Lepisosteus oculatus: one gene and its partner. The protein of the gene in region 1 interacts with the protein of each later gene in a pairwise test. Links are inferred from orthologs where the notes say so. Each region holds a gene or a part of one and is shown in the gene's direction. Other genes may lie near its edges.

Region 1 (7,230 bases):
TCTCACATGTTTTTTACATATCCTAAGGTTTTAAAGATTTTGGAAGGAAATAACTAAAATATTAGAATGAATTTACCCTTTCCTTTAATTTATCCCCCCAAATTATTTTAATGAGCAACTTTTCTGTTGTACAGGTAAGTTGAGAGCTATTAAATTAAAACCAATTTAAGATATAAAGCCTCCTTTGTTTGACACTTTGGACTAGGACAATATTAGTAGGAGTCTGCTAAGTATATAAAACTATTCATATGTTATTCAATTTCATATGTTAATTAGTTTGTTTTTTTTGTTTTGTTTTATTTCTACTTTTAGTATGTAATTCATACAATCTCTGATTTGATACGTAAATTAAATATAATTCTGTAATAAAAAAGTACTCTGAAATATGGAGGTGTATAATAAATCATGATGCATGGCTACAACAAAGAAAAGACTTAGTACGACTGACACTAATGGGTGCAGAAGGTTACACTGTCACGTCTCACCTTTTAACCCTGGAACAAATCTCAGCGTCTACAGATCCAAAGGAGTCTATTTTAAGTTCGCTGTTCTCATAAACTGTTTGAGATTTGTAAGGGATGAACTGTACTACATTAACAGTGAGTTGCAATGAAAATGTATGCTTTTTAAAAAAAATTGATGTCCTAATTGCGGACGCATTTCTAATTTCCCCCCACACAGCTGGGGCCCAAGACCCCTTCAGAGTGCCATCTGGAAATATCAGTGTTATTGCTGTGCTAGAGACACAGGCGAGAACTTGCTTTTCATCCAGTTGGTCAAACATACAATAAGCCTTGAAATGAAAAGTGTTTGGTATTCACATTTCAAACCTCTGTCTTGTGGGAGTGGGATTTTGTAATCTTTCCAATTTTTTTTGTTATACGCACGTGATTTTTTTGGAATTGTCATTTGTTGTTTTTTAATGTCTCAGCCTACAGCTATGAACCCAGCAACCTCACACAAGGGAGGATGAGAAAGTGTGAGCAGTTTCCTCCCACCTGCCTGCCTTTGATCCACTTGTCTTTAAAAACCTCACAGGCAATGCTCCTTGGAGGAAAGCTTCCAAGCTGCCACTATTCACTTGCCTTGGCTTGAGGCTCTGCAGAAACTTCCACTTACCTTTGCCAAACTGGACATTCTCCATGCTTGACCCTGGCCCTTTCATGCAGATGTTTTGGATGACATCCTGTATGCACCTCCTTGAAGAGGACAAAGCACGCCCTTCTTGTGTCAAGTAGTAGAACATCTTTACACTGTCCCAATGCGGACAACAAAGGCCCTGTTAAGAAACTGTTGGTGGAGCGAGTGGATGTCCTACCATCTCAGCCCTCGGTGTGTCTGAGCCAGCAGTGGAGACTGGAGAGCGTGCTACACAAGGAGTTTTGTGTGTCCTTGTCGATGGGGCATCTTAACCACACTCAGGCACTTTCAGCAGCATACACTGCTTATCTGGCAGAGGTGGCAAGGACACCATACTGCCAAGGCCTCAGGTCCAGTCCATTGCCTCTCGCTGTCTACAACTGGTCCAAAATCAAGTTCAAGTTCAAGATTGTTGTCATTATACTGATACACAGGTATATGGTATAATGAAATGCTAATTAGCTAGCTCTCAGACGGTAAGTAGCACAAAAAAACAACAATACAATTGAATAAGAAAAGAAAGACAGAGACAAAAGGCAATGTGCAACACAACAACAGGAAACAGGTAATGTGAAAAACAACATCAGTTGTGCAAAATCATACATCAACAGAACAAAATAAAGGATAGAAAATTATGGGGAGTGAACTTCTTGACATGTGAGGTAGAGGTAGATTTCAATGTGTGTTTGAGATCCGACAAAGAGAGAAGGCACTGTGAGGGTTCAGATCGTAGGTGAGGGTGGCTGGGAGTTTAATAGTTTGATAGTGCGGGGGTAAAAACTGTGAGTCTGGTAATCCAGGCCTGAATGCTCCGGTACCGTTTTCCAGATGTTAGAGGGTCAGACAGTCTGTAGCTGGGGTGTGTGGGGTCTTTGATGATGCTTAGAGCTTTCCTCAAGCACCATCTGTCATAAATGTCCTGGATGGATGGGAGGGCAACCCCAGCGATGCATTGGGCAGTTTTCACCACCTGCTGTAGGGATTTGCGGTCAGCAATACTGCAGTTGCCATACCACACAGTGATGCAACCTGTCAGTGTGCTTTCTGTAGTGCATCTGTAAAAGTTAGTGAGGATCTGGGGACATATCTTAGGGCTTCTTCAACCATCTTAGGAAGTACAGGCGCTGTTGTGCTTTCTTGATCAGACAAGTGGCGTTGAGAGACCATGTGAGGTCCTCAGTGATATGGACGCCAAGGAATTTGAAGTTATTGACCCTTTCCACTCCTTGGTTTTGCTGACCTTGAGGGTGAGGTTGTTGTCTTCACACCACGTTATAAGGAGATTGACCTCCTCCCTGTAGGCCCTCTCATCATTGTCTGTGATCAGACCTACAACTGTGATGTCATCGGCAAACTTGATGAGATAGAGTTGGTGTTATGTTTGTCCTTACAGTCGTGGGTGTAGAGGGAGTAGAGCAATGGACTAAGCACACATCCCTAGGGTGTGTGACAACATACTGGTCATGGTATGGTGGGCAGTAGTTGTATAGTACAGTTATTCTCCAATTTGTTGTCCACAGCCTTGTATTCCTTGTGTCAAGAATTTCAAAAGCACTTGGTTGTCTTTTTTTCCCTATCAGCAAAGCTCGCTCCACTTATACTGCTATATTACTCGTGTGAGTCATTTTAGAGACTGAGGAACGTACATCTTTCAAATAAGATAATTTGTCTGTATTGTTACTTTAGAGCAGTGGTTCCCCATGCTGATCCTAAGGGACAACAGCATCTGGTGGTTATTGCTCCAACTAGGCCTTTACTCACTGGTGCTAATTGATCTGCTTGCTTATTTACGCCTTTTCCACGCTCGTCAGTTTAAAAAAAATCCCGTTAATGTACTGTATTATTTTCAACAACTTTGGCATACAGAATTTCATATAGTCTCTCTTCAACATGCTAATTATGAATTTGTTCACTTATTTAGGTTAAAAAGCTCTTAACTGACAGTCATGTTATAATGAACAGCCAGATGGGAATGGTAATATATCAGACATTCCCATAGCAAGTATTTCATTTTCCTTTGGCTTAAATCCCATTGGTTACATTTTGGCTAATGCACCAGAATGAGGGGAATTCTGAGTCTTAGGGGTTGGCACAGGGTTGATATCAATTCTGAACCATAAGCCTTTATGAGGTACAATAAAATAAAAACACCTACATTTGGAATAAATAAGTTTACCATTAAGATTACGGAGAAAAAAAAACAGAAGACAGCACTCCCCCAGAATCAGGACTGAGAACTCTGATGTACTAAGTGCCCCAGATACTGAGACATTATATTTATATTTTTGTACAGCTCCACACATTCAGTTAAACCAGGGGTCTGTGACCTAGTCTTATCTTTCACCTGGTTGAAAAGGCTGAAAACACCTGTAAACATTTGATGAATGAAAGCAGGTAATCTGTTGAATTAATACAATCTAAGGTCCTTGAAGGCTAGAGAGTACTTAGACTTTAGTCTTAAATGATCTGTAAATTACTTACTTTGACAAGTCACCTGTTTGATCACAATGAAATCGTTTCATATATTAAGACACAAAGTAATGGTGACCTACAAAAGGTGCTGAATTGGGACCAAGATCCATGTTAGAAATCTCTATTATAGAGTATGTATTTTACTTGTTCAGATTTGTGCCGAAGCACTAGTATTGCAGTCAGTTTTTTTTCTCATTGTATAAAGGCACCATTCACGATTAAAGCCATCTCGCAAGTAATTAAATCGCAAATAACCAATCTAAAAGAACTAAAATAGTTGATAATTTCATCTCACAAGACAACCAAACTAATCAAACACAAAACCAATGGATATAAGAAACCTTCGTCTTCGTACAAAGACCAAGAACAAATCACGATTGTTGAACTGTAGTTAGAACTCCCTTAAAAAAAGAAAAAAAAAACGTCTTTTATATTTTCTAACTTTAGCCGATAAAAAAATTCTTCTCAACCTCTCTGACGCTGTTGTGCACCTATGGATGTTGCACCTTCCTGTTCTTTGCCAGCAGGTGGAGCCTTCGGCTTTCTGAAAAGCATGGGTTCTCCAGGGGAAAAGATCCAGATTGCTTCAGGAGGAGAGGAGAGGAGAGAAACATTCTGCACCGTCTATCTCACCCCCAACCGTTTTCTTCGTTGCGTTCAGGATGGTGGTTAGTACCTGGTAAAGCACGAGGAGGCGGATGCTCAGCATTTCCACGGGAAAACGGAATCAAAATAACAGGTATGCACTGTTAGTTTCCGGGCGAGAAGATGCACAAAGCAGAGGTACAGGCGGTGCATCTGTGTATGGAAAAGGTTATTATATTCAGCATCGACTTGCTACGTTATATTTTTGCCTGCATTGCAAAAAAAAAAAATAGCACCCCACCTAGATGAAGAATGCAACTGCTGTGCTGTCCGGTGACAAAATTGCCTTCGCTGACATTCAAAGGAACAAATGTGTTTATGGCAACTTCCTTATATACTGTTTTTGTGTATGCTGTATTTGGTGGGCGTATTTTCAGTTCAATTAGATTAAAACTAGTTGTGACGCTGGCGCACAACAATTAGAGCTTTTTTACAGGACAAAAAGGCTTCACGTCGAGGAAAGTGTTAAAAAAATTAAACGTGGTTTTTAAATAAAACACACTGACTGTAGTCGGTGCCACAAGTAAAAGCCCTTTGCTGAGCTAACTGTAAGATCTCTGGAAGCGACACCTTTGGTATTGACCACGTAAGCTTGATCTATTTACGTCTTTGCAGTGATACCTGAGAGTGTGAGCGAATCTGCAAGCGTGGTCTTTGAGACGAAGTGAAAGGTCCAGAAATGAGTGCAATTATAAACGTATAACACATTTGCATGTAATTTGTGGGCTACATTGGTTTTCCTCTCCATAAACACACATACAGTGCTCTGTACTATGTTGTTTTTGTTGTTAGAGTTTAATTATGCAGTCATGCTGTACACATTTTGCGCCTGACGTTAAGTGTGCTGCTGTTCTTCACCTCTCAACGCAGTGCTCTATATGGTCAGAAAATGTGCTCTTGGTGCGCCAGTGACAGTGTTGTGTAACAGTAAACATAAGGAGGAATTTGCTGCAATACTATATTAACTGCAGAGCTATTTTAAGCTTGTTCTCTCAGTCGTCGGAACTACGGGTTGTAGATTGTTTTGCAGTGGTTTCCTTTGTATTATAAACTCTTCAGTTTTATAACAATGTCTTTATAATAGTTTACAAACTGTCCAGGGCAAACAGTATTAAACAAAACAAAAACCTTTAAATTGCTTCCTGAATGCGATGGTGTTTAAATTGAAAATGTGGGTTAGACATTAAGTGCGCCAGGGAAGAGAAGAAATGATACAGCTTGAAACTCCATTCAGGTAGAGGAATTAAGCGAGCCTTGCTCATTATTGGGGCTCAGGAGCTTCAGTACATCTTGAAGGTAGCGTTAAACAGCTGTCACTCAATATTAGTTCCATAAATAATACAACGGTAATGATGACTTTTGGACAATAAATGTGGAATGTAATTCATTAGTGAAAAATTTAAAAACTCTTTTCGCAAAGGCTATACACATTGGGCCGCTGTGATTCTTCCTAAAAAAAGAAAACCGGATTTAGCAACCAGGCACCATTTTAAAGACTTCCTCTATTTTGGTTCCTATGTATTTTTCTGTCTCATACTTATTTCAGAGAAATCGGTTCATTTCAATTGTGCCTATGTGAAACTGAAATTGTTTAGAATAATCAATGTATTTAAAACAGCATCTTAAATTAACCGCTTTGTTTTTACCTTCCATCCGCAATATCACGTTGAGTGCCTGATGGTTACTTTTTGGTTAACAAAACCTACAAGCTTTTATTCAATTTTAAACTGTCATTGAAAATATTTGAAGTTGGTCAAAGTCTTGACTTAAAGTAGTCTGTGTATGTTTACTGTAATTTTGGACTTACTGTAGCCTGTATCTGAGCAGGATTGTCTCATTTCCCATTTAAGCTGAGAATGCATTTCTTATTTTATGCTGATGCGGACTAAAGTCAGTTAAGACAAAAATACCTCACATTATCTTTTAGTTTTCACCTTAAATGTTTCTCAAGGAGGAGGTTTCATACAGCTTGTGCAAGACCTTTTCTCTTAACAAGGGCATTAGTTTAAATATCATCCAGGTGGGTGCTGCACATTGGTGGTGGTGGAGGGGAGTCCCCATTACCTGTAAAGCGCCTTGAGTGGAGTGTCCAGAAAAGCGGTACAGTATATAAGTGTAAGCAAAAATTATTATTATTAAATGTTCATATTAGCTGTAATACATAATTTATACAATTTTAAGGTGTTTCTTGAAAGTAATATTTTTTGTGTTAAATGTAAATTTCAGTCTTCAGAGCAGTACAGGAGCTTTTAATACTGTTTATTGGTCTATCTTTTAGATAATTACTTTAATTCTTTGGCAAAGTGTAGAGTGTTAATTGAGGACAACTCAGTACATGTAAAAGTATCTTTTTGCAGTATATAGCATTGGTGAAATTAAAAACAGGGTTATATTACCACAATGTATTTGTTTGTTTGTTTGTTTGTTTTTTTTCATTGAGTTGAGGGTTTGATTTTTGTTCTTCAGGTCTGTGAAAAATAATTGTTTTATCTGACCCAGATCACTTTATTAAGCCCTATACAATTTCTTGCATTAGGAATTTGTCTTTTTGCATACCCCAGCCTGCTCTCTATGAGGATTACAGAGAGGGAGAGAGAAGCCTGGGGTCAGAGTGCAGGGTCAGCCATGACACCTGGGGTAGTTGGGATCAAGGGCCTTGGTCAGGGGCCCAACAAAGTAGGATTCCTCTGCCGGCTGCGGGATTTGAACCAGCAATCTTCCAGCCTCAGGTGCAGATCCTTAACCACAGTGCCACCACTCTGCCCTCTGCGCTGCATTTGCACAATCGCTTGCACCACCTAATACCTGTAAAATGGGCCAGAGTGCTATATAGTGGTGATGCCCATCCCATCTGATCTTCACTGTTTTTTATTTTTGTATCCGCTCTGTTTTTTTTAGAAATCAGAACATGATCACAGTTCCCAATGGTTGCATTGATTCACTTGGGCAGTGCCTGAGTAAATTCTCTTTTGG
Region 2 (7,847 bases), on another chromosome or scaffold:
AGTAAAGTAAAGTGTAAAGGCTTATGTTGAGAAACAAATGTATTTGGTATTAAATCTCAGTATTTAAATTGCATTAAACTTATGACAAATAGTAATCTTAACTTACTTATACTTCCTTGTAAAACATCTGGAGACAAATCCATGTTCATCCTGTCTTTCTTCATGTTTGCCTAGGAATTAGTCATCAATTAATTATCTTTGAGTAGAATTCAGAATCAAATACTTTTTGTGTAAAGCAATTGGACTCCCCAAGCTAGCGTGAATGCTGTGAAATCTCCTTTGTGTAGTCAGCTCCTGATGTTTAAACTGGTGTTCAAGGAATATGTGGGCAGTTCCCATACTACTGAAAGTTAAGAACACAAAAGACAAATTCCTTTAAATGCAGATAACACACTCCCTCTTTTTAAAATAATATGCTCAACTTTGGAATTGACATGTAAACTACAGACAAGTGTTAACAAAAACTATGTAACCTTAGGTAAAAAAAGAGAGAGTACAGCAAAGAAAAGTGACTAGGTTGTTGGTGATACCTGCTATTTCCAGGTAGCCCTCTTTTATTTTGATGGTAATTTCTTCTGGAGAGAAATGGTTGACATCCAGGCTAATTTTCCAGCAGTCGGGTCCAGTCCTGACTTCAGATACCCCTCCGCACAGTTGCCTCTGAAGATTTGGGCTGCTGGCCGCTTGCTCATAGAATGAATAAGGTGCAAACAGGGGTGAGCGCAAGTAAGCTGGCCAGGAAGAAGACAGCCGTCTCCTCGCCCAGTCGATCCAGTTCAGATCTCCTTCCTCCAGGAAAGGGGGCAACCCAAATTCCTGGTCAAAAATGCGACTGGGCTGTGCCCAGTCCCGGAAAGGATCCCAGTTCAGGTCCCGTTGGGAAAGGGGACGGGGGAGACGTCTGCTGTGCTCTGCCATAGCCTACGAAGAGTTCACGAAAAGGCACGAAAAAAATACGAAGAAAAAAGAATGGGCCTTTCAAACTGCTGGTATTTCCCTTTCTGCCTTTTTTGGCTCTCTTGCTTTATCAAGAGATGAAGGCTTCAAAACGTGAAAGTCAAAATTAATGAGAAAATAGTTGCAAGACAATAGAAACAGCTAGATTTTTAAGGTATGCACTTGGGAGCTGATTAATAATTAGAAAGGTCAGATTTTTACAAAAGCTTTGCTCAGTTAGAACACATCGCTCACACTCCTTATATAGCCTGACTGTCCTTTCTAACACTTACTAAGCACTAATAGTTGTCCTATGAGATGTGAAAGTAGGAATCAGGTGATGGGCTGGGAGATGGTGCTGTTACTTACATGTTACACCATGCTTGGAAGAAAGGAGCTAATTAATGGTATTTATAGCTCTGGAGGGAAAATGGCAAATAGTTGGAGGATGACTGCAAGCACAATGGTGATGTTGTGTTCACTGGCGTGTTCAACAATCTTGTCACATCCTGGTTCTCTTTACTTTCTCCATAGTTACCGCTGTCTTCTGCTTTGCAATGGAAGTTTGTTGATCCTTTTTGCTGAGCACTTTCATCAAGGTGGAAACCAACTAGAAGTTAACTGGTGTGTTAGAAATACAGGGTCTCATTTTAAAGTGAGCTAGACCGCCTTAAGAAGCACTGTGGGTTCTTCGGGAACTAGTGAAATTTTTGCTCAAGAAATAAGCAGCAGCCAGTGGCTATGCCCACAAGGGTTAGTAATACTCTGTTTTTTGCAGGTAACAGCAACACCAAGAACGGGAAAGATTGTAAACACATGTGTGCTCACTCCCACACTGTACCAAGGCTACAGGGTTCAGTCATGGAGGGGTGATCTTAAAATTGGAAAATCCAAATTTGTTTTTGGAGCATGGAGACAGATTTGGAAGTGTAGTTGACAAAGTCTGAAAACTCATTCAGGATAAATTATTTGACTAAATATTGAGAAAAGAGAGAAGAAGCATAAGCATGACTTGCTTATAGAACATAAGAGGGGGTTATGTTGTAGAGGAGGCCCATCTAGCCCAGTTAGTAGTTCATTGATCTGAGGATCTCATAAAGCTGGTTCTTGAAAGAAGCCAGGGTATCAGCTTCGTGTTTAATATTAATACAACCCTTTGAACACAGAAGTGTCTGATGTTCCCAATTTTAAATGCTTCCACTGAAGTTCTGTGCTTCACATTCTAGTTGCTTCTGAAGGAATCCATTGAGTTGGCTTTGTCAATCCCTTTTATAGACTTTTGCATACTTCGATTAGGTCCTCTAATAGTCTTCTCTGTCATGGAATAAAAAGGTTCAGTCGTTTTAGCCTGACACAGTACAGCATTCCTGTAAAACCTGGGGAATGTATCTTTACAAATTCCAGAACAGCTTCTGTGTTCAAGGCTTATTTTTATTGAAGGAAAAAAAAACTATATACATTTTGTATTTTGTCCACATACTGTACATTTTGCAAACATACAATATAACAAATAGCACAAGGAAGGCAAAAGCTTTGTGTTACTGATAATAACTAAAGGTTATTTTCTTTCAACGGAGTAAAGCAGGAGGTGTTTGCGGCAAAAAAAACCCTGAATCCTAATTAAACTGATAAAGTCCTCCTATGAGAGCTGTGAGGAATTTCACTAATGAAAGAGCTTAGCATCCCCACTCCCTACATTTCTTTACTTCTAATTAGTTTATGTCACTGGTTCCTCCAAGTGCTATTAACGGACTAGACACATCTTAACAAATTCTAGAGGGAATTAATAAAATCTCTCTATGAAACAGTAATGAGAAGCAATCAAATAAAAGGCATTTTTAAATGAATGGCCTGGGGAAATAATAATATGAATTGGCCTGCAAAAAAAAATACTGAAATAACATTTGTGACGGGCAGAATGATACTGTACCGAATACGTAAAAGACTCTTGTTTCTAATGCTATAAAATAAAAAAACATATTGAACACTATTCTGAAATCAAACTCCATGAAGGGGTCTACCAGAAAAGGTTCAACCCAATTTTCAATGTTCTATCTTTGGGTCAATGAAGTAATTTTAAGCCACAGGTAGTTGAGATGCTCGTAATGAGTAATATCTATGTAGTCCATGCTCCTCACACAGATATAAAAGAATAAATGAATGTACAAAATTCAATCTATAAATTAAACACTTAAACATGTCACTTTCAAGACCATGCAATGCATACATGAAGCCAAAGAGATTTATTTCAATAACTTACAAACTTGTGTTTTACCTTGTGACCTGATAACTTCACACTTTGATATTTGTTTTCATTTCTCATTGAAGCTGTTAAAAAAAAGCTTCCCCCCACCCCGTGCACAGAATTCAGTTTGTCTTTTTGTCCTCTGGTCCCTGCCCTGTCTTTTCCTCACAGACATCAAAAGGGACAGTGGCAAGTGAGGGAGGGCAAAAGACACTGCAAAGAAAAAGCTGCCTTCAAAGAGAAAGGGGGAAAGGAGCTGCTAAATGGACCTGAAGAGCTGATAAAGTGAGCTTTGATTTTTGCTCAAATCCCTGAGCAAAAAAAAAAGCTTACTCTGACCAAAGAAGGCTTGAGTCTTGTTCTTGTACTCATTCAGGGTTGAATAACAGAAGCTGTAACATAAGTCCTTTTGCAATACATACTGTAATATATACAGTGTAGTAGGAGGTTTTAAAGTGAGATCTGTTTTATCTCTTCGCCCTGAAGGTTGAGGCATTGCTACTGTAGGTCTGAATGAGTTTTTTTTGCTGTAAGATTGCAGCAGCTTTACTGGTCCTTGTATAAATTACATGTCTGATGACAACAGCTGCTTTATACAACACTGATGTCTGAGGGCAGGGGCTTGTCTTAAGTAGCATTTCACTGGTGTTGTCTGATGAACAATATTGAAACATGCCTACCACTATGGGTATGCACTGTGGTGCATTGTTGTAATCGTGGACATCTGGGGAGACTGAATACCCCAATGTGATCACCACCTGCTGGATGTCTCTGTTGACTGCAGATAGTACAAAGAAGTGCATTCCCCACTTGCCAGGTAGGTATTTTGGTGATGAGATAACATAGTTGCCTTTGGAACTAGCAGCTGGTGTTCAATTGTGTGGCTCCGGCTACAGAACCTACAGCATCACAGTCTAATGTAAGAATCACCTAGCAATGTGATTATTCTGGAAACTCCTGGATCCTAATTAAAATAAATAAAACTGACATTGCACCCCATACATATCTGTTCGTCAGTTGAGAGCTTAAGAACAAGCCATTTTAAAAAGAGATTTTAAGAACGTATCCTTATACAGTACGTATTCAATAATAAATTCCAGTTCCCCAAACAGTGAATATCTCGATGGCGATCAGACATGTTGCAGTAGAAGAATTTACACAGTATATGGGCACACGGTAATTTCCTTGAGATTAATAAATGTCTGTTTTTAATTATTTTAAATTTTCTAATATTCTTTAAAATATATTTTATTTTTCTTGCTTCTGTTTGTCAAACGTTTAGTTATAAACCATGTAGTAATAAAACATTTGTCCTGTAAACAGGTGAAATTGATGGGCTGGTGCGGTGAGACACTAATTAGTTAACTGACACTAATTAGAATACTAACTGCGAGATCTATTAGTTCTACTTAAATTTATGTGCCGTTTTAATTAAAACGTCTGGATAACCGCAGTAACCAATTAACTTTCAGTTTCAGAGAAGCTAATTTATAATCAGACAACGCACAATGGCTGCACAGAATACAAACTTGGAAAAGATTCCCGAAACAAGTATTGAATTAGGCCCGGAGTAAAACTTCTCTATTTAAAGACGAGCCTTCCGACAGACACGTATTTATGACGGGTTGGTTCGCACTTTTCAGGAATCCTTGCTCTCTTAAATTATTCCTCTCTTTTGTTTGCACTGTAACTAAGGGAAACAAATGAAGACACTAGCCAGTGTCTGCGTGACTGTAGAAGACCGAGACGAGACGGATTACTTCGCTGAATTATGCGTTTTGTATTCTAAGAACCACCATACCGAAAAAAAAGAAAACTAAGATGGAATAGGAAGACCACTACAATAGCTCTTGTTCTGTGCGTATTCTGGAGTTTAGTTTTTTTTTTCATGCGCATTAAAAACTCTCATGACATAACATCAGCAGGCGGGGTGTAATGTGCAGCTATGCCTGTGTGCTCAAGTAAAAGTCTGGACCCACGCAACTTCGTAATTATCAAACCACTTCCCATAAGTCCTCCCGCGGGGATAAAACTCCAAGCTCGTAGTAGCACCGTGTTCAACCCCTGCGAACCGAATCGGGAGCAAGTTTTCAGGGAGAATTACCGTCGGAGACAGAAGCAACTGACTCGCCAGGGCTACAGGGCAGTAAATTGGCGGCCGTATGAGGAGATTGGAGAACCCCTTGTCCTGGAGCCTAAGAGGCTGATTCTGCATTCTTTAGGACAACCTGAACAGGTGATTTCTGTTGTAAACTAAGAAATGCATTGCTTCTTCACGTCTTACTTGAACTATTAAATAGTAATGATGTAGTCTTCATAGTATGTCAATGAACTGAATAGGGAAATGGACCAATTCACCTTCAAAATGGGATACATAATTATTAATTCAATCAGATTGGTCCGTTTGCTTTATACGACTTCAAATAATGTCTTAGTTGTGTTTTTTTAATTTATTTTTGATGTTATTATGTAAGCATGCCAAAACGCAGCTCAACTATTACATTATCCCTCTTAAATTAGTGTTTTCTCCTAGTAACATTCAGCTTTTTTGGTAATTTAGGATAGAAAACATAGAACATTAGAAGAAACCACTTTTATATTCTACAGTATGTTCATCTTACTACATTGTTTTCGTTTATATTTGACCTATGTGTTTAATCTTTAACGAATCTGTCTTTGGCAGATATGTGTAGCTCAACCTTTCGTGTTGTTCTTGAGTTTGTTTCATGAAGCCAGAAAAAAAATTGTAGGACACACTAAAGGGATAGGCTTGTCAAAAGAAACTTTTTCTAAGCATCTCATGTCACCCTTGAATAGTTTAAGTAATTGTATAGATTTGGATTTCCCTGGCTGGCCTCTGAGGTCAGAAAGAATGCAGATAGCAGTGTGAGTTTCGACCCTCCACTTGTGTTAAATGTGAGGCTATATCAGGTGGCCTTGCTCCTATCAGACAGGAGACGGGAGGGAATGTCAGTTCACAGGTCGCAGTCCTTCATTCATTCTAGAGCCCACTTTGTTATTGCTGTATGGCACTACAATGCTTAGGATGTTTCCTTCTCTCTCCCAAAGTATTGCTTTTGGTTTTATTAGGCACGTGCAGATGTCCTCGACTACTAGCACAACAACACGGCTGGAGCCTGATTCTTTTACTCAATTGCCTAAAGTCAAGTGAAGAATACTGTATTTTTTACCCACCTGTGGGACAGGGTGTATTGTTTTTACAAACAGCAATGTGTTGAAATATAAAATCCCATTCAGACTTTGGCATAATAATAATAATAATAATAAACTTTATTTTATATAGCGCCTTTAAAGGTGGCTTCTCAAAGCGCTTTACAGGATGACAATAACAATAAATAAGAAGACTACAACAATAAATAAGAAAATTTCACAAGACAGGACATAATTATAATTACAACAATACAACAATAACAATAGAGGAGACCGTGGAAGATGGTATTAAGAAGAGCAGAGGGCTGAAGAATGGAACCAGTTAAGTAAAGGCTTTACTGAAGAAGAAAGTTTTGAGTCTGGATTTGAAGGAGTTTAGAGAAGGTGACTCTCTAATATCCTTGGGTAAAGAGTTCCAGAGCTTGGGGGCATAGCAGGAGAAGGCCCTGTCGCCCATACAATGTAGACGGGCTTGGGGGACAGTAAGGAGGGCAGAAATTGAAGAGCGGAGGTTGCGAGGTGGGGAGTAGGGCGATAAAAGTTCAGACAGGTATTGAGGTGCCAAGCCATGTAAAGCCTTGTAGGTGAGCATGAGGATTTTAAAGTCTACGCGGAATTTGACCGGAAGCCAGTGCAAGGACTCCAGGATAGGAGTAATGTGAACACTTGTACTAGACCTGGTCAGAATTCTGGCTGCTGAATTTTGGACATACTGCAGCTTGTTCAGAGTAGATTTAGATACACCAGGGAGCAGAGCATTGCAGTAGTCAATTCGAGAGAATACAAATATGTTGATCAGCTTTTCAGCCACAGTTAATGATAGCATAGGGCGTAGTCTTGCGATATTTCTAAGGTGAAAAAAAGATGTTTTGACAGTATGCTGTACATGTGGGTCGAATGTTAAGCCAGAATCGAATATAACCCCAAGGTTTTTCAATTTTGATTGAAGCTCAAGTACAGAGCCATCTACAGACAGGGTTACAGGACTGGCTTTTCGAAGTTGATGGGGGGTACCAATAAGCATGACTTCAGTCTTGTCACAGTTAAGATGAAGGAAGTTTTGAGTCATCCAAATTTTTATGTCAGAGATGCAATTAGATAGGATAGAGACAGCCACGTCAGTGTCGGGTTTGGTATGGATGTATATTTGAGTATCGTCAGCGTAAAAATGAAAGCTGAGGCTTTCAAGGAATAAGACATTCCCTGCTACCTTCTATAGGTACAAGGTGTAACAGCAGGACTGCAATCATTACAAGCTCTATGATTAAACTGGCAGCAGAACTGGGGGATGTTGCTTGCCCCTCACAATATAGTAGTGACATCATTTTCAAAAGTATAATCAGTATCCATTAATGTTCCCCTAGAAAGAAGAAAAAAGTTAGTCATGTGTACACAGGAGATTTTAAAATGATTAAACATGTTCTGCAAAGACCACTGTCAACTCTTTCCCTCCAGAACCCCAAAGTGCTAATAACTTAGGGCTCCCGTTTAACTT

What was found.
Region 2: the proteins of microtubule-associated tumor suppressor candidate 2-like (region 1) and coiled-coil domain-containing protein 60 interact in binary tests that used the Homo sapiens proteins (3 or more experiments, as listed by UniProt). The two-hybrid records come from large-scale screens. The link is inferred for Lepisosteus oculatus from reciprocal best matches to the Homo sapiens genes MTUS2 and CCDC60.

What each region holds. Positions count from the first base shown.
Region 1 is NC_090700.1:17,556,001-17,563,230, reverse strand, and holds the start of microtubule-associated tumor suppressor candidate 2-like, read left to right. Parts: upstream 1-4,169; 5' UTR 4,170-4,351; intron 4,352-5,315; exon of another isoform or gene 5,316-5,491; intron 5,492-7,230. UniProt on the Homo sapiens protein: Binds microtubules. Together with MAPRE1 may target the microtubule depolymerase KIF2C to the plus-end of microtubules. May regulate the dynamics of microtubules at their growing distal tip.
Region 2 is NC_090717.1:4,185,081-4,192,927, reverse strand, and holds the start of coiled-coil domain-containing protein 60, read left to right. Parts: upstream 1-4,743; 5' UTR 4,744-5,126; coding exon 5,127-5,417; intron 5,418-7,847. Other genes in the region: heat shock protein beta-1, read right to left, coding at 107-170, 531-918.